3 linked regions of the Bombyx mori genome follow. The protein of the gene in region 3 purifies or fractionates together with the protein of the main gene of each other region. This does not show direct contact. Links are inferred from orthologs where the notes say so. Each region holds a gene or a part of one and is shown on either strand. Other genes may lie near its edges.

Region 1 (6,196 bases), on a different chromosome or scaffold from region 3:
GTCCCTTTATTCAATCAAATATCGCAATCGGTTTTTATCGATTTAGAATTTATTGATTTTTGTTTTTATGAGATACTGAACGAAATAGATTTACAAACTTCTTGAATGTTGTCATTAGTAAACGAGACTTCATCTTTAATAAAAAACTAATAACACTTTATTTTCTTGGTTGAAAGACATGATTTAGTTGAATATCAGTGATTTATAAACAACTACTACAATAGGGACTGTTTGTGAATATTTTAAATCTCCTACAAAATGGAATATAGATATATTTTTTTATTTAAATTTTAATCAATTTGAAAAAAAATCGATTAAACAACATCCTCAAACACGCATATTGGATCTCTGTCTTGAGTACGGGCGGCTACAAAAGTTTTCATTGATTTGTTATTATTATACTGTTTTTGTTTAGTGCTCAGTTTTTTGTTTAGTTTTAAGATTGTTTGTGTTTAAATTTGTTTTAGTATTAAGTGTCCCTTGGCATTTATACTATTTTATACTATTCGTTAACAAAGATGCCACCAAAGCATAATAGTGTTTTAAATCGTCGGCCGACAAACATAATTTTTGATTTTTTTTTTAAAAAGAAGAAGAAGAAATCGTAAAAGATGTTGACAGTTTCATTTAGAGTTGCTAACGCAACTGGTGTATCGCAACGCACAGTACAGCGGATCGCAACTGAAGGCAGTGTTCGGGCTTACATTCGAATTAATTTAATTACGTTATTTTTACAGCTTTCTGTCTTAATTTATCATTCTTTTATTATCTCTCTTTAAATTATTACGTTATTTTTATAGCTTTCTGCCTCATAGTGTTTTGATATTCATTTTATTTGTACTTGGTCCCTGTATATGGAAATTTTAATTCGTATTTTGATTTAAAAAAATGAATGCTAATAACACTTTTTTTTACGAGTGTACATGCGCGAAAGTTCACCTGCGGCTATATTCAGACTCGCCAAGCTACGTCGGTCGTATTGTAATGAGCGATTTAGTGGGCAACTTCATTTCTGTTAATTTTGTGTCACGGTGCGCGCGCATCGTAAAATTTCACTCTCATCAATTTTTCATAACGCGCCTAAAGAAGTATAACTTAAAAAATACGTAGGATGATTTCCTTAAAAATCGTCCTTTTTTTTCATACCTAAGTTGATGGTCTACAGAGACCATGTCAGCGTCGCCGAGTTAATAGGTGAGCTCAAACCTGACGATGTTGCTAACATGAACACTAGCAAGAGCCGTGCTTCGCAGAATCTACCACCGGATCGGAAACTCGACCCACTGAGAAAATCCAGTGAGAAAATCAGTGGGCTGTGTCTGTGGGTTAATTTACTCGCCGAGCCCTTCGTTGCAAAGAACGGGTTCGACGAGAACGATGACCCGGAAAGCGTCCTAAAATACGTCCTTCAAATCAATTAATTCTCTTGAAACTTACTAGAAGGTGCAAGTGTCTTGTCTTTAGTCTTTGTGTTTTCTTTCTCTTTTTCCTTGTCCTTTTCTTTGTTCTTCTCTTTATCTTTCTTTTTTTTCTTGTGTTTCGGTTCAGGAGATTTGGTTTTTTCTGGTGAAGGAGAATGGTATTTTTCTTCACCACGAGTCCTCTTCTGACGTCCTAGAATGAAAAGTTTACAAACATTCACAGTTTATAATTCTTGAAGATGAAGTTCTTCAATATGTAAGGTAATGGCAAATGAAACTAACTTTAAGTTACTTCAACTTTAAACTAACGTTAAGCTAACTACATTTAAACTTTAACTTTAAAGTTTCGGTATTTAGGAATAGTATATTCAGCAGCAGTTTAGCTGTGTTGGCTGCTTTAAGGCAAGAAGTATGAGCCGCCCTTGAATTTATGTCAATTTAGTCATGTAGTAATGTAATGGTGGGTACAATAGGGTCTATGAAATGTAGGGTACATTTGCCGTGCTCGATGACAACTTTAACCATATTTTTTTTACCATTTTAACCATTTCTATTTAAATACATTAAAATTAAAGAATTTCTTGATAATTACAAAGTAAAGATAATTTTATTTCTTTAAGATTTGAAGTGCCAGACGATTTTATAATTCTTGAAGTGACAGTTAATACTCTAAGTAATCATTTTACTGTTTTGGTTTTTCAGTGCATTCGTGTTGAGCGATGCGCCGGTGTTCGAATCCCAGGCGAGTACAAACTTTTCTAATGTATAGTCATCGTGGCCTCAAGGATAAGACGTCCGGTGCATTCGTGTTGAGCGATGCACCGGTATTCGAATCCCAGGCGAGTACCAATTTTTCTAATGAAATAAGTACTCAACAAATGTTCACGATTGACTTCCACAGTGAAGGAATAACTCGTGTAATAAAAATGAAACCCGCAAAATTATAATTTGCGTAATTACTGGTGGTAGGACCTCTTGTGAGTCCGCGCGGGTAGGTACCACCGCCCTGCCTATTTCTGCCGTAAAGCAGTAATGCGTTTCGGTTTGAAGGGTGGGGCAGCCGTTGTAACTATACTTGAGACCTTAGAACTTATATCTCAAGGTGGGTGGCGCATTTACGTCGTGGATGTCTATGGGCTCCAGTAACCACTTAACATCATGTGGGCTGCGAGGTCGTCCACCCATCTAAGCAATAAAAAAAAGTTAAGTAATGTATGTACTGTTAGTTCACAAATATTACCAAGATGATTGAACATCAGCACAATTTAATAAAATGGAACTCCACAAAATTTGTATAATTACTCTGAATAACATTAGCATAGATATTGAGCACACCTGGATTGGTACAAAATGTTTGTATCCCTGCATTTATCCAAGAAGCAACGGCAATTCCTATATACTAATTTGAAATGTAAGGTGGTTTTTCAATAAGTTTTCCAATTCAGAATTCCATTTACAGGATTTTTTTTGCAGAATTGCATTTAAGTGATTGGTGGTAGTTTCAAAGACATGCACAACCATAGCTGTTTTATACCAAATGAGCCTTCTATTAAGTTTTACGTAGAAATCAAAATGGAATATCAAAATTACCTCTTCGTGTTGTTGGTCTGTCCTTTGAGATAGACATAGAACGTGATCTAGATCTTATTATGTCCGCACTTTGACGCTCCAAGTCTTTCAATGCTGGTTGTCTAAACACAAAAGAAATATTTATGAAATATATTATTACCTTTAGACCTTTGTGGAATAGTATGTTTGTTTACTAAATATTACAGATACAAAATAATAATATATACTTGTGAATTTGAATTTTATAAGCCAACTGCTTCAATCTTGTGACACAAGATCAACGACTTCATTCATTTTATAATTAATATCTCACAGAAGTCAGTTCAATTCAATAAATTTCATGTAGATTAGATGGAATTGGTTTAATTTAATCTATATTGTGAGATCAGAATATAATAAAGGTTTTGAAATACTTTCATTATGCATTTAATTTGGAATCAAAATTTATCAATTTATATTTTAATAATTATAATTATGTATATTAATAATTTATCAATTAATCCACCAACTATGTTCTCACCGTTGCTTGACTGATGGACAATACCATCTACATTCATGTTTATGAAGTGTAATAAACAATAAATTAAAAAAATTGGGTTTGGATTCAGACACCTTATTTCTGGAGGAAGATAGAAATAAATGATTCATAAAAATCTAGTATTTACTTACTTTCCAAGCAACTGATACGCGGTGAATTGATCGCCGTTGTAAACAATCTGGCCGCCAGTGCTCTTAACTATATCGTCCAGTTTGTTTTGGATACTTTTGTACTCATCGTCGGCATTTTTGTATGCTTGTAGTTGGACTTCTGATAGTTCTTCTTCCCAGCATTCTAGCTCTAATGTTGGTATGTCTGGACCGAAATACGATCTCTTGTAGAGATCGGCTTCAATGATTTCGGCTTGAGGTGGAATGACTTCCTAAAAAGTACTTTAGATGGTTATGGATATTGGCATTTGAAGGAAACATCGGTAATTATTTCACTTACCTCGGTATCTGACTTAGCTTTCTTTAGCTTCATAATGTAAGTTTGTTCAAATCATATTATAGTAAAAATTCACTAGCATCTGATGCACCTACATTTATTAGAGGCTCATTTATATTGTGATATTAAGTGTATAATCTATGATTATGTGTATTATCTATGTCTGACGCTTTCACATTGATCTGTGCTTTCACAGAGTACTTAGATGTTTTGTTCGATTTCGATATTATCGGCAAAGTGATTTTACATTATACAGCCAACATTTCTGGAAATTAAGGACGAAGCGACTTTTTATTTTGCAATTTGTGTTTTAAATCTCGCTTATTTATACTTTTTTTAGTTATAAATATTTAAAATGACTATAACAAATTATTTTTCTTTGTAAAGTATTTTAATATTACGAAACAAAGGTTTGTTGATTTTTTGGGCACTATTATTCCTCCATAAATTTTGCCAAATGGTACTGAAGCCAAAGCCATTATAATTTAAAAAAGAAAGTAAATAATCTCCGCAACTGATAGTTTGATAAAATTGTTTGTGATGAAATTGTCGTTCAAGTGAAATTTCCTTAACTACGTTTCTAATCGAAGTTAGCTTCCATTAATTATGGAAGCGGTACCGAAGATACCCCTTATCAGTTTCGAATTAAAAGTATCAACAGAGAATACAAAATTTGGAACAAAACTTAAACAGGTAAATAGGTCTATAATCTGTCTACGGCTAAGATTTGTTTGTTGTTTCTTTGTCCACTTTTTTCTTTGGAATTTTCTAGTACATTGCCGAAGTTTATAAAGAAGATCCAGAAAGCTACAGTAATGAGATTCATTCGCTCGAAGGGCTACGATCGGCCGCCGTGAGGCCTACAATGGATACGGCAGGCTTGAAATCTTTAATTAGATATTTTTGCCAACTTCGTGCCATGCAAAGCCGATTCCCAATGAGCAAAGGCCAGCCGGCGGCTTGCAATTTCACTTGGTAGGTAATCTAATTAGCTTAAGTTGATTTGATTAGTTAAAAATGTATGAATCATTGATTCACCTAAAGAAGATTATTATCTATAAGCATTGTTCAATATTCTTGATTCTTTACACTTTACACTATTCCTACCTTTAGTAAAAATAATTTTCTTGTTAATCTATTTATTTCTTAACAGGAAGGATCTCTACGCAAGCATGAATTGTACCTCAGCATCTGCTAGGTTTGAATTAGGATGTATTCTTTACAATATTGGTGCCCTAAATACCGAACTTGGTGCAATGGAGCCACGTACCACAGCTGAAAGCCTGAAAGCCACTTGCACTCACTTCCAGCATGCTGCATACTCATTTCAACTCTTGAGAGAGCAATTTACTCAACCTCCAGGTGTTGATATTTCCTCAGAAATAATGAGACTTCTCCAGGAAATTTGCTTAGGTCAAGCCCAGCAATGTATTCTAGAGAAGAGTATACAAGATACAAGAAAGCCCCGTGTTATTGGTAATTAATGTAGTTTTATAGAAGACCAGTTGTTTAAGGAATATTTGTGAACTCAAAATAAGAATACATTAAAGTTGAAGTCCACTTGTTAAGTATACACTACAAAACATATCTTATACATGTATAGTAAAAGTATTGTTGTAGATAACATATTATTATGTTGATGAATCATCACCATGTTTTGATTAAAAACAATGATTTTTTTTTTACTCGAATCACTGCTTCAGGTTACTATCTGTGAATTGAAAGTAAGGTTTGTTTTTGTTGGTGTGCGTGTACACTTTCAAATTTATAGCAGCCTGTCTTATACCTAGTTATTTGAAATCATGAATTTTAAATTTCAGGAGCAGTAGCAATACAAGTTGTTTTATTCTGCAAAAATGCTCTGGCTTTACTTGGACCGTCCACTGGTTCAGAAAATGTTTATGAAGTTGTTGGTATAACCCTGTACAACTATTGGTATCGGTCCCTTTCTTTTAAAATGTCATTTGTTGGATCTATTGCCTGTCTGTATCAAGGTAAGAATAATTATTAGAAAATTTGTACTTTTATAGGCTTAATGGTGTACAATACAATCTGTTTATAGGTGGTAAATAGGAGATGCATAAAATAAACTGTCAAAAAATATTTGGAAATTTCATAACTATGCATCAATATTCGTTTTTGTAATTCAATATGTACAATTTTTGTAATATTGTAACTAGAAACTAATTAGATAAGAGATTGTTTATACCAAAGGACTGGA
Region 2 (6,316 bases), on a different chromosome or scaffold from region 3:
GAACTCTTCGGCGAGTTCGAAAAGTATGGTTACTTATACTTTAGCTGCTCATATCTATAGCGTCCGACAGTATTGAAAGTAGACCGAATGGATCTGTAAGGACATGTCTAGCAGAGTGGAAAGTATAAATAGTCACCCTAGTCTAAAATTTGTTGTTAATAAATAAAATATGTCAATTTGATATTTTTTGCCGCTTAACTTAAAAAAAAAATCTCTCTAAAGATTTCATTTTTGTTCCGTTTGGGGTGGAAACTTTGGGCCCCTGGGGCCCATCTGCTAAAAGCTTTTTTAAGGACCTTAAAAAAAACTTTTTGAGGCCTCGGGAGACCAGAAGGCCGGTACGTATTTTGCACAAAGAATTAGCATTGCTATCCAGCGTGGAAATGCTGCCAGCCTTCTGGGAACTCTGCCAACCGGCGGTGAGCTAACGCAGATTTTCTATTTCTTCTTCTTCTTCTTCTAATAAAAAATTAAAAAATGTCTAATTGTTAGATAAAAATGTCTAATTGTTATTTAACAATTAGACATTTTTTGATAATGTGTATTCGATTCTTCAGTCTGTAATTTATTTACATTAAAGAAGAAATAGAAACTTATTTGTAAATTGGTAACCCCGTACAACATACTTGGACGAACAAAAAATTAAATACTTTCTCTACATTGATCACGATATGAAAATACTTAAAATAATATAGTACCTAGCGTGATAACAAAAATATAAAATTCTATTTTTTGTTAACTACACTAAATCACTAACATAATTTATACATACTATATCCATATTATATGTTCATAAGGCTATCCACCCGAGATCTTATCAAAATATTTTCGTTCGAAAGTTATCGCATTTTTAAAGTCCATCCATTCTTAATCTGTTTTTTGTGAAATTTTTTACTAATTTTTTTATTTATTACATGAGTGGACGAGCTCACAGCTCACCTGGTGTTAAGTGGTTTCTGGAGTCCATAGACATCGACAACGTTAATGCCGCCGCCCACCTTGAGATATAAGTTCTAAGGTCTCAGTATAATTACAACGGCTTCCCCACCCTTCAAACCGAAACGCATTACTGCTTCACGCCAGAAATTGGCAGGGCTGTAGTACCTACCCGTACGGACTCACAAGAGGTACTACCACCAGTAATTACGCTAATTACGCAAAAATAAAATGGTTATCGAGGGACAGTTTTATGTTCACGTCATGACTTATGCTAGTGTGGTGTTCGCTCAAGCGGCCCGCAAACACATAGACACCTCTATGATATACACATAGACAATCCCTACAAACCCGCTCTTGCAGGTTAACAGTCGGAGTGGGTCATAAGGAACCTTGACCTATACGATGACCTGGGTCTCGAATCCATCCGGAAACACATGAAGTCAGTGTCGAAACGGTATTTCGATAAGTCTATGCGTTATGATAATCGCCTTATCGTTGTCGCCGCTGACTACTCTCTGAATCCTGATCACGCAGGAGCCAGTCACCGTCGATGTCCTAAACACGTCTTTACGGATCCATCAGATCCAATAATCCTTGCATGAGACGCCTTTAGCTCTAACAATAGGACCAGGCTTAGGGACCCCGGTAACCGTACTCGTCAAACTCGGCATAAAGTTCGACGTGTACCCTAACCTAAACATCAGTACGCTGAGTTTCTTGCCGGATCTTCTCAGTGGGTTGCGATTCCAATCCGGCAGCAGATTCATTCGCAAAGCAGCTGCTCTTGATTTGTTAGGTCTCCTTCGGAGGTGCTCGGGCAGCTATTTGCATATCCCATCCCTTCTTGATGAGCCTTTGTTCGCCCACCAGTCCTGGTGAAGCTGGAAAGGCCTCCGGGCCATGAGTAATACTAAAATAAATAAATAAGATTATGTTGGCACTAAAAGCGCATTTATTAGAGCAAATATTAAGTGTATTGTCTATAGATAGAGCTATCCTACTTAACTCACATAAATACCGTACGTTCTTTTTTGGTAATCTGCATATAATTTTTAGGATCTATTTAATTCAACGCACACACTTGCATGTGCACTCAAAAATGTTTTTATTCTCATGCTTGGTCTTAAGATTCACAAATCAAAATAGAGGTCAATCAGCAATTTCCAAATAGAACCATGCCAACTATTTTTGTGAAATTTATGGTCTTAGTTGTCTGGCAGCACTACTAGTTAGCCGTCATACTGACCCATAGACAATATACAAGTCAACGCTATTCGTCAATTTGTCTTTCTCGTATAAATTTTACTTTTCCGCCAAAGTACATAGTCATTCTAGAATTGCCAAAATGGCAGAGGGACAAGACGACCCTAAAAAAATTACGATCACAGTTAAAACCCCGAAAGAGAAGCAGCAAGTTGAAATTGAGGAAGATGCCGATATCAAAAGAGTGAGTAGGGGGCCGTGAAATCCTTCATTCATGGCGTAATAACATTGATATGGGACACGCAATCAGTGACGACATATATTTCTTCATTCCGGCACATAAAAACGCAGTATTTTCATTCGTTTTAGCTCAAAGAAGTGTTGTCTTCAAAATTCAGTACAGAACCAGAACAATTATGTCTTATTTTCGCCGGGAAAATCATGAATGATGCCGATACCCTGAAGCAACACAACATCAAAGATGGGTTGACAGTGCATCTAGTGATTAAAGCTCCTCCAAGACCAGAACCGGAGGGTGCGGCTCGTAGACCCCCAGGTAAATTAACTAACTAGGATTGGATTTTCATTAGTTGTGTTGACTAACGAGTTCCAAGTCCATTTCAATAAAATATGTCATACGAATTAACCTGGATAATGAAATACAGTTAGTTTAGCTATTTGCAAGTAAACATTGATGATATTTAATTGTTTTGAGAAACAAATGGAGGAACATACAAGAATCATATTCACTAATTATGGACACTATAAAATGTATGTAAATTTTAGAGATTCCAATGTGAAGATTTCAATGAGCCAGTGAAAATTTTTGTTAGACTCACAACCAAAATGTTATTGAAAACTTATCTTGAAAATCTTGCTGGCTTGATATGTCGTCTAATTTCTTCTGCCATATAAGCTATCGCTACATGTATCATATATTATATCCACTCTTAAAGTGAAAAAAAATAGAAACTTTTTGGAAAAATAGATGGCATACTGTTAACCTGCTCAGGTGGAATCCACCAATTTGCCTATTAATGCAGCATGGCATGCACACATTAGTTTGCAGGATAGGACAGTCATTATCTAAGACAATTTGGTCTTTTGCCTCGTGTGTCTAGTGGTTTCATTCACATTGTGATATCAATGGGCTTTGTTAAGCACTTAAAACTAGGTGCTCCTCCATCTATCTGTGCAATAAAAATAAATAATAGATATTTGACTGGGAACTTGTGTATATTATATTTCTCTCTTCTTCTCTGTCGTTTCCTCATGACTGAGGGTTGTGACCACCTTGGTCCAGTTTTTGCACCAGCTTCCTCCAATGCTGCCTGCATTTGGCCTGCTTAATGGCTTAATATTTATGTCATAGGAAAATTAAATTTCTCGTACAGCATATTAGCTTCAGTGGCAAATTGAAAACTTTATTTTGGGCCACAAAGCTTTTGGAAAATATAAATATATTACATTTTGCTGCACTAAATATTAATTTCTTACTTGTAAAGTAAAGCTTTTATTGTGTTAATCAAGGTAAAACAATAATTAAGCATAAACTTTTTCTTTACAGTAAATCAGAAACTTTGGTATATGTTGTTTTGACCTGTTTTAGTCTAATAAAGATAATTTTTTGTAAAAGATATGTCAGGTGTTAATGGGATACTTGTGTTTATGGCTATATCTAACATTTATGACTTGTGAGCAATTGGCACACCTGCTGTTAAAGGTAACCAGAATCTATAGACATCTTATGGTGAACATGTCCACATTCATCATTGTGACACATTCAGTTAGAAGCCACAGTAGCATTAGTAAAACAGTAATTTCACACACATCTATTCTACTCATAAACTAGACAATCTGTTATAACATCAGATCCTCTCGCTCAGACTGGCCAAATACTAATAGTTAATATGATGATGATAATAATCATTTAAATACTTGGATGTTTGTTTCAAATAAAAATTCTTCTTATTTGGATTTATTTTACTAGAAAGAAATCCAATTGTTTACTTAATAACACTTGTGTTAGATTATTGAAAATTATAAAAATATGAAATTTATTTCCACTACATTTGTAATATCATTTTCCTAGCTGACGTCAGTGCTACACCATTTGGTTTAAACTCGCTGGGTGGGCTGGCGGGTCTTGAAAGCTTGGGCCTTGGTCAGAGTACTTTTATGGATCTCCAGGTATTTATATCACAGGACTGCTTTATATGATATTGAAAAGTTTTCAGCTACATTTATAAACTGTAAAACTGTAATTTTTTATTATTAACAAGCCTTTCGTTTAGTCTATTTATTGGGGTTCTCAACCCATCTAGCACAGTTACCGCAACCCATATGACAGCTTCAGATAGAATTCCAAGTAACAATTTAATTAGGATATTTCCTTTTTTTTCCTACCTATGCTGATACCCTTGAAAGGCTATATCAGTGTTACTCTAGCGTATAGGTGAGTTCTCAGGACTCAAACCGGAGGTGTTGCTAACACTGGCCCTAGCAAGAACAGTGCTTCACAGAATCTACCACCAGATCAAAAACACAACCCACTGAGAAGATAACCAAAATGCATGATTGTTTTGCTTTTTTTGTGTTTTTTTTTTAATTCAGACTGGCTTTATATGCAATAGAACATACGGCCCTATTAATAGCAAGTTTAAGCCGTCCCTCATAAACCAGCAATGATAGAGGAACAGTCAAACTTACGCCTACTGTATAATTAACAAATTTGGACCCTACTAAGGCTTATATTATTCACAGGCTAGAATGCAACAGGAACTTCTGTCCAACCCTGATATGCTCAGACAAGTCTTAGACAATCCATTGGTGCAGCAGATGATGAATGATCCTGAGAATATGCGTAGCCTCATCACCTCCAACCCACAAATGCAAGATCTCATGTCTGTGAGTCATTTTTTTACTAAAATTGTACTATTATAAAGTAATAAATACTACTAATGACTAGTATATAATAATAAAAATTTACTAACTTCATAAATTAACACGTTGCCTGTCCGTGCATTATATATAATGCATTTTTGGTCCAGCTGTGACGTCCGTGCATTATATGTAATCCACGATGTTCTTGTTACTACATTCGTGCATTATAAGTAATGCACGGTATTCTAGCTGACACGTCTGTGCATTAAAACTAATGCATGCATGAAATTCAGTATTTTAGTTGTTTTTGAAAGTGTTTTTTGAAAAGCACTTACATGTACTTCATAAGTACATAAAATGAAATAGTTAAGCCGAAAAAAAAACGGGGTCATGGGTACTTAACCAAAATACTCTGGACAGGCAACGTGCTAACTTTGAAGACATACAATACAATAAATCTTTGGCTGTATAGATCAGTAATTGGCAAAGTGCCTTGAAAGAACCCTTCGTAGAGTACAGAATCAGAGAACAAAATTGGAAGTATACAAAATCTAGCGAGCATATAGATGAAGAGCCAACAAATGGAAAAAAAACATATTATTCTTTTGAGAGCTTGTTAAGCTTGACCCTCAATTTTTTTCTTAATTCAGTTCATTTATTCTAACAAAATTCATACTATAAAATCCCATTGAGAATCACTGGTATGCATAATAGAACGAAAGCCTAATATTGAAACTTATTGAAAAGAAGAAACCATTGGTTATGTCAGCTAGTAATCACATTTCAAAATAAATACAAGTTGCAGTTGCAATCAAGATAAACGTATAGCTGCTTGATTTTTTCAGAGAAATCCAGAAATCAGTCATATGTTAAACAATCCTGAATTATTACGTCAAACTATGGAGTTGGCTCGCAACCCCGCTATGTTGCAAGAGTTGATGCGCTCACACGACCGCGCCCTCTCCAATCTCGAAAGTATACCAGGTAAGTTACCGATGTTTGATATAAAATCTATACTTCTATTCTAATATTATAAAGAGGAAATATTTGTTTGTTTGTATTGAATAGGCTCCGAAAATTAAAACGATTTGAAAAATTCTTTCACTGTTTGGAAGCTACACTACTCCCGATAATCTTTTTTGAAAAAAATTAGGGATCCTTACTAAAACTCCAATAATGTAAAAAAAATACCTAAAATATTCTTTACATCGCGTGCCCTGCGAAAACTATTGAGGATAGAATAAAATAATGTACTACGACTTTGTAGAACACTTTATTATTTATGAAAAGT
Region 3 (5,682 bases):
GTTTTTTTTTTGTTTAGATGGGTGGACGAGCTCACAGCCCACCTGGTGTTAAGTGGTTACTGGAGCCCATAGACATCTATGACGTAAATGCGCCACCCACCTTGAGATATAAGTTCTAAGATCTCAAGTATAGTTACAACGGCTGCCCCACCCTTCAAACCTTCAAAAAAAAAGCACAAATCTGTCGAAGATCTGTAATCGAGATATCTAAGAATGCACCAGGCGGACCTTGAGGCACATGTTGGCGTCAGGTTTCTCTGCGGGTTCCCTGGGCGGGTCGGGCTGCGGGGGCGGCGGGTCGGCGCGGCGCCTCTTGCCGGAGCGCTGCGGGCGCGCGGCGGGGGGCGCGGCGGGCGCGGGCACTCGCTTGCGGGCCGCGCCCCCCGCCGCGCGCAGCGCCGCCACCGCGCGCTGCTGCTCCATCACCATCAGGTGGTGGTGGTGCATGCCGTCACCCTCTAGACCTGTAACCACAATTATTATCGCTAGTAAAATTATTCCTTACGATTCACACTTCGACCTTATCTTTTTTTTTTCTATGATTGAAAGATTACTGGTGGCCCGGAAGTTTAACCAGCCTTTCCAGTTTAGGACAGGTGGGCGAGCAAAGGTCAAGCTCAACCACGAAGCAAAGGCTCAGCCAGGAGCAAAGGCTCAGCCAGGAGCAAAGGCTCAGCCAGGAGCAAAGGCTCAGCCAGGAAGCAAAGGCTTAGACCTGGCGTAGGGGATACCGTGATCAAGTAGGTGGTTCCCCCAGGGTGAGGCTCCTCCATTGCGACCTTATCTCTTAACGCGGCTAGTGATATGTCTATGTTTATTGTACTTCGTAATTCTTATATTAGAATTATTAATTATAGTTAATGTGGTATACTGATAACCTTATTCAGACTTCAATAAACTAAGATTCTAGAATAACTACTATGAAAGACACCCAATGGATCTCTTTTTTTTACTTTCATTTACTTTTTTCTTTCCTTCCTTGCCCTTATTTTTCTCAAGTGATGGTCCACTGTGATGAGTGGTAGGTTGGAACAATTTAATCCAAATGATTATTAGTAGTGATTAGTGTAGGCGTTTAATATAATAATATGTACACAGTTCGTTCATGTTATTACAGATTAGTTTATGATATATAGTGCCTTTATTTTCTATTCTACACACTTTTATTACATGATTTACAGCATACATCGAATGAATCAGCTTTAGACATGCTTTCACTTCATAAGCTGTTTTAAACTGCTATGCAATACATGACACCACTCACATTAATAAAAATGTAAACAGGCCATATGCAAGTGTACACTCAAACACATGCTTGAAAATGCCACAGATATTTATTAAACTCGGACGATAACAATTCTCAAATGAGCAAGTATCGTTTTGTCTCTTTCCTACAAAGTCATTTAATAAATTACTTGGCGCAAACGAGGGTGACGCATTCGCGTTCTTTGTTTAATATACAACTGCCATTATCCCATACTTGTGAAGTGTTTAATTTCATAGTGTAGCACTCACCAGGCATTCCGGGATGTGAGCTCGGAGTGATCGTGTTAGCTGTCATTGCAGATTCTAAGTCTACCGGTTGATCTTCGTATTCCGTGGCCATTTTTAAAGCCATCTGCAGCATGTCCTCTCCGAAAGCGTTATTACCGTCCATGCCTGCTACGGGGCTGAATCCTTCTTCCGCTGATCAAAATAATTTATTTCTTTTTAAAAACCTTTTTTTTATTACTTTGACCAAAACATTGTAATTGAAATCAGCTTCAAATTCAAAAAGCATATCATCAACTGTCTATTGACATTTTTGTGTTATTTCTAGTAAAGTAATATAAAGTAGCATTGTTGATAAAAATTGTAGTAAAATTATAAAAGTGAGACCAAAATAATGAACAAAATAAATACTAGAAAATTAAATGGTAATCATGTTTTTTAATAGTTCATTAATGTCTCAAAACATAAATGATAATATACCTCTAAGCATTTCAAATTCATCCCTATGCATTTAAAATTAAACTATTTTTTTGCGTACCATTATCGTCATCAGTATCTGAATCACTTTGATCTTTCTTCTTATCCCCGGCTACCATTTCAGCCATCATCAACAACTCCGCTTCAAATGGATCTGTGGGCATCTTGTCGTGTATCTTGTTTATTTCCTTCATTATTCCTTTAGCGGAATTCCTCGTCGTCGGAATGAAGACCGGAGTGGGTACCGGAATGGGAATGGGTACGGGGACAGGGAAGGGCAGAGACCACATGACGCACGGCACCGGCACATATATCGGAACCGGGACAGGGATCAAAACTTTTCGTTCCAAGCTCGAATCTGTCTGGCACTCTTTCGTACAGGGATGGGGTCGACATGAGACACCTTTGGAAACCATCATCGGCTTCGACATGGTCCCTTTGTTGGCCACCTCTCGAGGAGGTAGCGTTTTGACGATGACGTGGTTGTAGACCTTGGGCGGGGGCGGGGGCGGCGGTGTGGGTGGCGCAGGAGGCGGCGGCGGGGTGGGGGGCGCGGCGGGGGGCGCGGCTGCGGGCGGGGGCTGGGCGAGCCGCTTGGACTTGCCGCGGGTGATGGCCACAGAGGGACTCGGACTGGCCAGAGATTGCACGTTTGAGATTACTGGTAAACCTTCACTGGCTGTTCGTTGTGCTGTAATAAGTTTTGTTGGGTTTTTTATTTCGCTTATAATGTAAAAATTCTGATATCTTGTGATTGCAGTGTTTTGTTAATAAATCTCTTATTATCTTACTATTATTTTTTCCAGAAGCATTGTAATTTCGCCTCGGTGCGCCTGTCGGGACCGCTTTCTGTTGATCAATTGACTCGCCGGGGAGTAGTGGAGGTGTGTGCTTTGAGTACTGACCCTACATGACAACCGAGAGTTAATGACGTAATCGGAAACAAGCAGCATCCTTGTTTTAACATATACTTTTAAATCTTACCTGAAATGACATGACGCATTGATACGTGCAAAAGTTTCGAACTGTCGCATCAGACATTGTCAAATGGTATTGAGCTAATGACGTTCTTTTACACAGGTCACATTTGGTCCTGAAAATTAAATTAAAGGATTGAGTTTCTTTTGTTTATCAGAATCAATAGGCAGAAGTGTATAGAGCCCGCATTGTTATAAATATTGCTAACCTTTAGAGATAAATTGTATTGTCTTAAGTCGAAACACAGGATTGCTGTAGTGAGTAGGCAGGTGATGTGGTTACCTTCACTAATAACGCAATTTTACAATCATCCTACTTTCATAGATATTCATAACAAGATCTCCGACGTTCGTGGACACGAGTAAGGTACATATTTGGTTTTAGAAATTAGTGCCCACAGAAGAATTTGAAGCTGATATCAATACAAATATATGAGTATTAACTGCAACACTACCAATCCTACCACCAGATACACTTCTATTCGCCGACAGGTGCTTTTACGTAGACTTCGATGAATTTCTTAGCACCTTTTTATCAAGCCCATGAAGAATTACAGGAGTAAAGGATAATAAGTAATTCTCATTAACAGTTAATTTTCTCATGGTATCTTTTAAAAATCTGGATACAGTAAGAGCTCACCTTCTCGATGATACAGCATTTATGGAAACTTGGTAGAGATTCAAACAATTAAGAGAACACATCAACACTGCTTGTCCGCTTGCCGGTATCCGCTTTATCATATCAAAGTTGTATTTTTTCACTTTACACCAACTGCAGGGAACTATGTGTCGAGTGTTACTTATATACACGTTTAGACAGGACTTTGAACAAAAACATATCGCCTCTGTGTCGTCATATATCGAAAAACATTTTGTCAATTTTCTTTCAAAGTACTTTTTACACCATCGACACTGATCTGTAAATAGGAATATTTTTAAATAGAAAACCACATTGGTAGCAACATTGAAAACTTTGATTATTTAATATATTTATAAGAGGATTATACACACACCTGGAAATATATTATTTACAAATTTAAATGCAGCAAAACATGGATCTGAACATAATCTCTGTGTTACTTCTTCGGAAACTTCAACCTCAATCGTTGTGGCCTTCTCTAAAGAACACACCGCGCACTTCGCCCACACCGCCTGCGGTATTGGATTCTTACTCATCTGATCAAACTTTCCCATGCAGTTTTGAGAACAGAAGTCTTTGAATTGGCCTTTATCACCAACAGGAGCCAAAAAACCTTGGTGACCAGAGGAGATATCTCTTTGACAATAACAACATATCTTCAATCCTTTCTTAAACTCTTCTAAACATGCCGAATTACAAAACTGTCGGATGTCATAACCAAATCTGACACAATATTTTCCCAAGCTTGTATGCAGCACTGGATTCTTACAGTTTGCACATCTAGATCCAATTTTATTCTGATATCGTCCTAAACACACTTCACCACAAAAGTCCATTGTCTCCCAAACCAACATTTTCTCATTTACATCAAGTAACATATAACAATAGGTACATTTACGTAAAAATGTTCTATCCCTTTCTTCCCTAGCGGCTTGAACCATGGCAGGTGTTTTTGCTTGAATTTTATATGCTTCATCTAAGTACTTGTCTGTGGCATTGCTGATAACCTTCAATTTTAACAGAGGTGGGTTTGCTTTTTTTCTTGTTGGTTGCTTTCTAACAGGCCTAAGCATTTTAAGAATATACCTGCCTTGTTCTTCTGAATTCAGAGTGTGAATACAATTTGCTTCGCAAATTAAAAGTTTTTCCCCATACTTAGTTATCGTGAATTTACAGTTTTTCATCTGATTACAAACACAGCATTGACCTTCAACTGGTTCAACCTCTTGTGCGACTATTTTTCTTCGTTTATATGTATACTTTTCTCTCTCATCGGCCATCATACTGTATAAACAACTTAGAGAACAATAATTCGTGTCTTCGCCGTCGTAATTGTAATAGAAATAACAAACTTTCATTTCCTCACACTCTGAACATGATAAATAGTTAGGAACGATTTCTTCAATTAAATATTTTTTTTGGGTTATCTTATATTGTCCTGGATTTTGAGTTTCATATCTTGATTCACACATTTCACTGCACAGCAACATAGTATCTCCTTTTTTTGTAAATCGGAAGTAGCATGGCTTTACTGTAGTGCATTGAACACATTTCCCTTCAGTGGGAGCACTCTCCTGAATAATATTAGTAACTGTGGATTCCTCTGTATCTATACTTTCATCATGTTCATTGTCTTTATCTATAAAAAGTAATATACTGTTAATAAACACTTGTTTTTTTTTGTTTTATTGATTGGATGGGTGGACGAGCTCACATCCCACCTGGTTTAGAGGTTCTTAATTCAATCAATTGATCACTGAACCAATGTTCACTAAATCATTAATTCATTTTGCAATATATGTTTTTACTACTTTTTTTTTTCCTACCTAAGCTATGATGCTAACACGAACCTTAGCAAGAGTCGTGCTTCGCAGAATCTACCACCGGATCGGAAACGCGACCCACTGAGAAGATCCGGCGAGAAACTCAGTGGGCTGTGTCTGAGAGTTAACTTACTCGTCGAGCCCTTCGTCGCAAGCGACGGGTTCGACGAGAACGGTGACCGGAATTTTTACTATAATATATACAATTTTCTATAGTAAAAATTGCTTAAAGCAGCCAAATTAAAAAAAGTTGAAAAGAAATACTTTTCTTTCA

The links.
Region 1: the proteins of zinc finger MYM-type protein 3 (region 3) and uncharacterized protein LOC101738225 purify together in Drosophila melanogaster (affinity purification with western blotting; 3 studies listed by BioGRID, with this or other methods). This does not show direct contact. The link is inferred for Bombyx mori from reciprocal best matches to the Drosophila melanogaster genes woc and row.
Region 2: the proteins of zinc finger MYM-type protein 3 (region 3) and ubiquilin-1 purify together in Drosophila melanogaster (affinity purification with western blotting; 3 studies listed by BioGRID, with this or other methods). This does not show direct contact. The link is inferred for Bombyx mori from reciprocal best matches to the Drosophila melanogaster genes woc and Ubqn.

Annotation. Positions count from the first base shown.
Region 1 is NC_085110.1:16,015,619-16,021,814, reverse strand, and holds the start of uncharacterized protein LOC101738225, read right to left. Parts: upstream 4,165-6,196; 5' UTR 4,012-4,164; coding exon 3,979-4,011; intron 3,911-3,978; coding exon 3,660-3,910; intron 3,113-3,659; coding exon 3,012-3,112; intron 1,615-3,011; coding exon 1,438-1,614; intron 1-1,437. Other genes in the region: tyrosine-protein phosphatase non-receptor type 23, read left to right, coding at 4,582-4,668, 4,748-4,950, 5,129-5,451, 5,796-5,969.
Region 2 is NC_085127.1:9,239,908-9,246,223, forward strand, and holds the start of ubiquilin-1, read left to right. Parts: upstream 1-2,152; 5' UTR 2,153-2,284; coding exon 2,285-2,386; intron 2,387-2,511; coding exon 2,512-2,698; intron 2,699-4,234; coding exon 4,235-4,332; intron 4,333-4,905; coding exon 4,906-5,049; intron 5,050-5,870; coding exon 5,871-6,009; intron 6,010-6,316.
Region 3 is NC_085113.1:4,589,150-4,594,831, forward strand, and holds part of zinc finger MYM-type protein 3, read right to left. Parts: intron 5,225-5,682; coding exon 3,959-5,224; intron 3,863-3,958; coding exon 3,586-3,862; intron 3,062-3,585; coding exon 2,953-3,061; intron 2,875-2,952; coding exon 2,760-2,874; intron 2,660-2,759; coding exon 2,030-2,659; intron 1,687-2,029; coding exon 1,516-1,686; intron 465-1,515; coding exon 229-464; intron 1-228.